2 linked regions of the Macaca mulatta genome follow. The protein of the gene in region 1 purifies or fractionates together with the protein of each later gene. This does not show direct contact. Links are inferred from orthologs where the notes say so. Each region holds a gene or a part of one and is shown on either strand. Other genes may lie near its edges.

Region 1 (3,650 bases):
CTGTATTAGAGGCTGCTTCTTCTTCAGCACATAGTACACAGAAGGATTCTAGTCATAGAACCAAGTTACCATTAGCAAAGGAGAAATATAAGAGTGATAAAGACTCCACTTCCACTAGGCTTGAGAGAAAGTTGTCAGATGGCCACAAAAGCAGGAGCTTGAAACATAGTAGTAAAGACATAAAAAAGAAGGAAGAAAATAAGGCAGATGACAAGGATGGTAAAGAAAGTGACAGTAATCATGAAAAGGCCAGAGGTAATAGTTCACTCATGGAAAAGAAATTAAGTAGAAGATTGTGTGAAAATCGGAGAGGAAGCTTGTCACAAGAAATGACTAAAGGAGAAGAAAAGCTAGCAGCAAACACTTTGAGCGCTCCCAGCGGTTCTTCCCTTCAGAGACCAAAAAAGAGTGGTGATACGACATTGATCCCTGAACAAGAGCCAATGGAAATTGATTTTGAGCCAGGTGTTGAAAATGTGTTTGAAGTATCTAAAACCCAAGACAGCCGCAATAATAATTCTCAGCAAGACATTGACTCTGAAAATATGAAACCAAAAACTTCTGCCACAGTTCTAAAGGACGAATTGAGAACTTGCACAGCAGATTCAAAAACAACAGCTCCAGCTTATAAGCCAGGCCGTGGAACAGGAGTTAATAGTAATTCTGAAAAGCATACCGACCATAGAAGCACCCTGACCAAGAAAATGCATATCCAAAGTGCTGTGTCCAAACTCAACCCTGGGGAGAAAGAACCCATTCATAGAGGAACTAATGAAGTGAATATAGATTCTGAAACTGTTCATAGAATGTTACTGAGTGCCCCATCAGAAAATGATAGGGTACAGAAGAATTTGAAAAACACAGCTGCTGAAGAACATGTTGCTCAAGGAGATGCTGCTCTTGAACATTCCACAAATTTAGACTCCTCTCCATCCTTAAGTTTAGTGACTGTTGTGCCTCTGAGGGAATCTTATGATCCAGATGTAGTTCCTGTGTTTGACAAAAGAACCGTTTTAGAAGGTGGCACAGCCAGCAGCTCCCCTGTAGATCACTCTGCTCTCTCTAATCAAAGTCTGACTGTTAGGGAATCAGAAGTCCTTAAGACAAGTGACAGCAAAGAAGGTGGTGAAGGTTTCACAGTAGATACACCAGCAAAAGCAAGCATCGCTAGCAAAAGACACATTCCGGAAGGTCACCAGGCTACTTTATTGGATGGTAAACAAGGAAAGGTAATCATGCCTCTTGCAAGCAAGTTAACGGGCATGATTGTGGAAAATGAGAATGTTACCAAAGAAGGTGGTTTAGTGGACATGGCCAAGAAAGAAAGTGACTTAAATGCAGAGCCCAATTTAAAGCAGACAGTTAAAGCAACAGTAGAGAATGGCAAGAAGGATGGCCTTGCTGTTGATCATATTGTAGGCATGAGTACAGAAAAATATGCTGAACCTGTCAAACTTAAGCATAAAAGAGGCCCAGGTAAAGTGAAAGACATATCAATTGATGTTGAAAGAAGGAATGAAAACAGTGAGGTAGACACCAGTGCTGGAAGTGGCTCTGCACCCTCTGTTTTGCACCAAAGGAATGGACAAACTGAGGATGTGGCAACTGGGCCTGGGAGAGCAGAAAAGACTTCTGTTGCCACTAGTACTGAAGGGAAGGACAAAGATGTCACCTTAAGTCCAGTGAAGGCTGGGCCTGCCACAACTACTTCTTCAGAAACAAGAGAGAGTGAGGTGGCTTTACCCTGCACCAGCATTGAGGCAGATGAAGGCCTCATTATAGGAACACATTCCAGAAATAATCCTCTTCATGTTGGTGCAGAAGCCAGTGAATGCACTGTTTTTGCTGCAGCTGAAGAAGGCGGGGCTGTTGTCACAGAAGGATTTGCTGAAAGTGAAACCTTCCTCACAAGCACTAAGGAAGGGGAAAGTGGGGAATGTGCTGTGGCTGAATCTGAGGACAGAGCAGCAGACCTGCTGGCTGTACATGCAGTTAAAATCGAAGCCAATGTAAATAGCGTTGTGACAGAGGAAAAGGATGATGCTGTAACCAGTGCAGGCTCTGAAGAGAAATGTGATGGTTCTTCAAGTAGAGACTCAGAAATAGTTGAAGGAACTATTACTTTTATTAGTGAAGTTGAAAGTGATGGAGCAGTTACAAGTGCTGGGACAGAAATAAGAGCAGGATCTATAAGCAGTGAAGAGGTGGATGGCTCCCAGGGAAATATGAGAATGGGTCCCAAAAAAGAAACAGAGGGCACTGTGACATGTACAGGAGCAGAAGGCAGAAGTGATAACTTTGTGATCTGCTCAGTAACCAGAGCAGGGCCCCGGGAGGAACGCATGGTTACAGGTGCAGGTGTTGCCCTGGGAGATAATGATGCACCACCAGGAACAAGTGCCAGTCAAGAAGGAGATGGTTCTGTGAATGATGGTACAGAAGGTGAGAGTGCAGTCACCAGCACGGGAATAACAGAAGATGGAGAGGGGCCAGCAAGTTGCACAGGTTCAGAAGATAGCAGTGAAGGTTTTGCTATAAGTTCTGAATCGGAAGAAAATGGAGAGAGTGCGATGGACAGCACAGTAGCCAAAGAAGGCACTAATGTACCATTAGTTGCTGCTGGTCCTTGTGATGATGAAGGCATTGTGACTAGCACAGGCGCAAAAGAGGAAGACGAGGAAGGGGAGGGTGTTGTGACTAGTACTGGAAGAGGAAATGAAATTGGGCATGCTTCAACTTGTACAGGGTTAGGAGAAGAAAGTGAAGGGGTATTGATTTGTGAAAGTGCAGAAGGGGACAGTCAGATTGGTACTGTGCTAGAGCATGTGGAAGCTGAGGCTGGAGCTGCCATCATGAATGCAAATGAAAATAATGTTGACAGCATGAGTGGCACAGAGAAAGAAAGTAAAGACACAGATATCTGCTCCAGTGCAAAAGGGATTGTAGAAAGCAGTGTGACCAGTGCAGTCTCAGGAAAGGATGAAGTGACACCAGTTCCAGGAGGTTGTGAGGGTCCTATGACTAGTGCTGCATCTGATCAAAGTGACAGTCAGCTCGAAAAAGTTGAAGATACCACTATTTCCACTGGCCTTGTGGGGGGTAGTTACGATATTCTTATATCTGGTGAAGTCCCAGAATGTGAAGTTGCCCACACATCACCAAGTGAAAAAGAAGATGAGGACATCATCACCTCTGTAGAAAATGAAGAGTGTGATGGCCTCATGGCAACTACAGCCAGTGATGATATTACCAACCAGAATAGCTTAGCTGGGGGTAAAGATCAACGCAAAGGCTTGATGATTTCCACCAGTACCACAAATGATTACACCCCTCAGGTAAGCGCAATTACAGATGTGGAAGGAGGTCACTCAAATGCTCTGAGAACTGAAGAAAACATGGAAGGTACCAGAGTAAACACAGAAGAATTTGAAGCCCCCATGCCCAGTGCAGTCTCAGGAGATAACAGCCAACTCACTGTCAGTAGAAATGAAGAGAAAGATGAGTGTGCCATGATTTCCACAAGCATAGGGGAAGAATTTGAAGTGCCTATCTCCAGTGCAACAACCATCAAGTGTGCTGAAAGTCTCCAGCCAGTTGCTGCAGCAGTGGAAGAAAGGGCTACAGGTCCAGTCTTGATAAGCACCGCTGAC
Region 2 (3,650 bases), on another chromosome or scaffold:
AGAACAGGTTGTCAGGAAGGACCTTATGGAAGGAAGTCACAGGGTCAGGGGTGCCTTTTAGGAAAGAGATTCTATAAGCAGTTTGGAAAATCAACTGGAATAGAGGGAGAAGGACAGAAACAGAGACAGGGAAATCAGTCAAGACTGCTGCAAGAGGCTGGGTGCAGTGGCTCACACCTGAAAGCCCAGCACTTTGGGAGGCTGAAGTGGGTGGATCACTTGAGGTCAGGAGTTCGAGACCAGCCTGGCCAACATGATAAAACCCCATCTCTACTAAAAATACAAAAATCAGCCAGGTGTGGTGGCTCACGCCTGTAATCCCAGCACTTTGGGAGGCTGAGTCAGGAAAATCGCTGGAACCAGGGAGATGGAGGTTGCAGTGAGCCAAGATCGCATCACTGCACTCCAGCCTGAGCAACAAAGCGAGACTCCATCTCAAAAAAAAAAAAAATCCAGGTGTAGTGGCTCACGCCTGTAATCCCAGCACTCTGGGAGGCTGAGGTGGGTGGATCGCCTGAGGTCAGCAATTCAAGACCAGCCTGGCCAACATAGTGAAACCCTGTCTCTACTAAAAATACAAAAAACTAGCTGGGTGTGGTGGCAGGTGACTGTAATCCCAGCTACTAGGGGGGCTGAGGCAGGAGAAACACTTGAACTCAGGAGGCGGAGGTTACAGTGAGCCAAGACTGCGCCGTTGCACTCCAGCCTGGGCAACAAGAGTGAGACTCTCATTAAAAAAAAAAAAAAAAAAAAAAGATTCTTCCAGGCTGTCCTTGTGGACAGCTATGTCTCAGCAGAAGAGGGAGCAGGAGGAGGGAGCATTTTGAGCATTGAGCTTATTGCTGTCAAGGGGCCAAGGGTTCCTAAGAATGTGGCCCAAACAGATGCCCTCGCAGAGGGCAAAGGTGACCCACAAGCCCAAGGAAGGTCATGTGGGCTCAGAAAAGGGCTAGCCAGGCAGCCGAACCCCTCCTCCGAGCCCAAAGTCAATTCCGCTGTCTGTGCTCACCATCCGACACCCCTGTCTCCTTCTTTGTGGTATCCACAGCTTCCTCTCGATCTTCATCTTCCTCATCTTCCTCGTCATCCTCCTCATCCTTAAGAAAAAGGACAAATGGGGACTAACAACAGGAAAGGGACAACTGGTCCTCCACCAGGCACAGCTGCCTGGGCTCCAACCACAGAAATGCTGGCTATGGGGAAGCAGGCTTCAGCTGGGAGCCAGCGCCCAGGCCCTCACCTTCTCCGAGGAGGACTCCTGGGACGCCTCCTCCCCTTCACTATCCAGAGCAAAGGATTTGCGGTGCTTGCCCTGGGTCTTGCCTCGTTCTTCGTCCCGCTTCGGGGGCTTGGTCCCCGGACGTCCAGGCTCTCCAGCCTCCTTCTCTCGCTCAGGGTCTAGGCCAGCAGAGTGGTAGTTGGGGAAATTTACCATCAACCACAAGATACTTGCCCTGCATAACGGCTTTACATACACTATTACCAATCTTCCTGATGGTCTTCATTTTACAGATGAGAATCTGGAAGCTCACCAGAGAAACGCAAACACCTCACAGTTACCTCATGTTTCATAGTTTGGTTTTTGTTTTTGAGCCGGGGTCTTGCTCTGTCACTCAGGCTGGGGTGCAGTGGTGTGATCACAGCTCACTGCAGCCTCAACCTGCTGGGCTCAAGCGCTCCTCCTGCCTCAGCCTCCTGAGTAACTGGGACTATAAAGGGCCATGCTATCACACCCAGCTAATTTTTAAAACTTTCTGTAGAGACAGGGTCTACCTATGTTGCTCAGGCTGGTATTGGACTCCTGAGTTCAAGCAATCCTGCTGCCTCAGTCTCCTGAAGTGCTGGGATTACAGGCGTGAGCCATCGTGCCTGGCCTTTATATATATACACATACATATACATACACACACACACATATATATACACACACACGTACACACACACATATATACACACACATATATATACACACACATATACACACACACGGCTGTTGTGTATTTTTAGTAGAGACAGGGTTGTGCCATGTTGGCCAGGCTGGTCTTGAACTCCTGACTTCAGGTATATATACATCTGTGTATATATATATGTATTTTTCTTTTTCTTGAGATGGAGTCTCACTTTGTCGCCTGGCTGGAGTGCAGTGGCACAATCTTGGCTCACTGCAACCTCTACCTCCCGGGTTCAAGCAATTCTCCTGCCTCAGCCTCCCGAGTAGCTGGGACTATAGGTGCCCGCCACCACACCTGGCTAATTTTTGTATTTTTAGTAGAGACGGGGTTTCACCACGTTGGCCAGGATGGTCTTGATCTCTTGACCTCGTGATTCACCCACCTCAGCCTCCCAAAATGCTGAGATTACAGGTGAGCGCCACCGTGCCTGGCCTTCATATATATACACATATATATACACACATATACATACACACACATATATGCACATATATACGTATATATACATATCTACACACATCTACACATGTATACACACAAATATGTAAATACATATATACGTATGTATTCATATAAAAATACATATATAATAATACATATATATATATATTTTTTTTTTTAAGACCCAGTCTCATGCTATCACCCAGGCTGAAGTGCCGTGGCATGATCTTGGCTCACTGTAACCTCTACCTCCTGGGTTCAAGTGATTCTCATGCCTCAGCCTCCCAAGTAGCTGGGATCACAGGTGAACACCACCATGCCTGGCTGTTTTGTAATTTTAGTAGCGACAGGGTTGTGCCATGTTGGCCAGGCTGGTCTTGAACTCCTGACTTCAGGTGATCCTCCTGCCTCAGCCTCCGAAGTGCTGGGATTATAGGCAAGAGCCACTGTGCCCAGCCCACACAGTTTTAAATATGTCCTGCCCATTTGATCTTGTATCATTTTCTGGTCGGGTGGAAGCGGGAGCTGATTTGTTATGCCTAGCCCAAGAAAAGAGTACGAGGGCCAGTGGGTCTCCAGGGAAGCAGATCTGACTCAGTGGGGAAGTTTCCAGGCCATGGTAGCTATCAAGCAAGGACTGAAACTCGAGCACACTGGGAGGAAGGTGGTAGGAGGGCATGAGCATCAGGTGGGAAACTTGGGGAGATGCCTCGTTTAACTTGGAATTCCGTGATTCCAGACACTGAATTTCATGGGTGGAAAAACCCAAAATACAGAAAATGTAAATTAGCAGACCAGAGGAAGACCCGCAACTACAATCCAGGAATAACCCTACCTGGTGTATCCCACACCTCTCAGAACTGCTGCATTTCAACCCTGCACCTCCACCTGGCTCTGCCCTCAGAACGACCCAACCCCTTCATCCCCGACCCTTGCTCTCCCATCAGAACCCACACAGACCACCCCTTCTCCTTATGCCTGACCCTGCTCACCGTCTTCATCTTCCTCAGCAGGAGTGGAGGGACGAGGCCTCTTTTCCTCACTGGCCTCGGAAATTTCCGATGGCTCTTTCCGCTTTACCTGGGGAATAGGGAGAAGATGGGGCTCGTTTAGAACTCAAATACTCAGGCAGAGCACGCTGGCTCACTCCTGTAATCCCAGCACTTTTGAGAGGCCAAGGCAGGTGGATCACCTGAGGTTAGGAGTTCAAGACCAGCGTGGCCAACATAGTGAAACGCCACCTCTACTAAAAATACA

Evidence for each region. The genes of interacting proteins can lie anywhere in the genome.
Region 2: the proteins of BOD1L1 (region 1) and SETD1A purify together in Homo sapiens (affinity purification with mass spectrometry; 3 studies listed by BioGRID and IntAct, with this or other methods). This does not show direct contact. The link is inferred for Macaca mulatta from reciprocal best matches to the Homo sapiens genes BOD1L1 and SETD1A.

Annotation. Positions count from the first base shown.
Region 1 is NC_133410.1:12,673,059-12,676,708, reverse strand, and holds part of BOD1L1 (biorientation of chromosomes in cell division protein 1-like 1), read left to right. Parts: coding exon 1-3,650. UniProt on the Homo sapiens protein: Component of the fork protection machinery required to protect stalled/damaged replication forks from uncontrolled DNA2-dependent resection.
Region 2 is NC_133425.1:29,601,436-29,605,085, reverse strand, and holds part of SETD1A (histone-lysine N-methyltransferase SETD1A), read right to left. Parts: intron 3,474-3,650; coding exon 3,386-3,473; intron 1,399-3,385; coding exon 1,241-1,398; intron 1,098-1,240; coding exon 1,010-1,097; intron 1-1,009. UniProt on the Homo sapiens protein: Histone methyltransferase that catalyzes methyl group transfer from S-adenosyl-L-methionine to the epsilon-amino group of 'Lys-4' of histone H3 (H3K4) via a non-processive mechanism.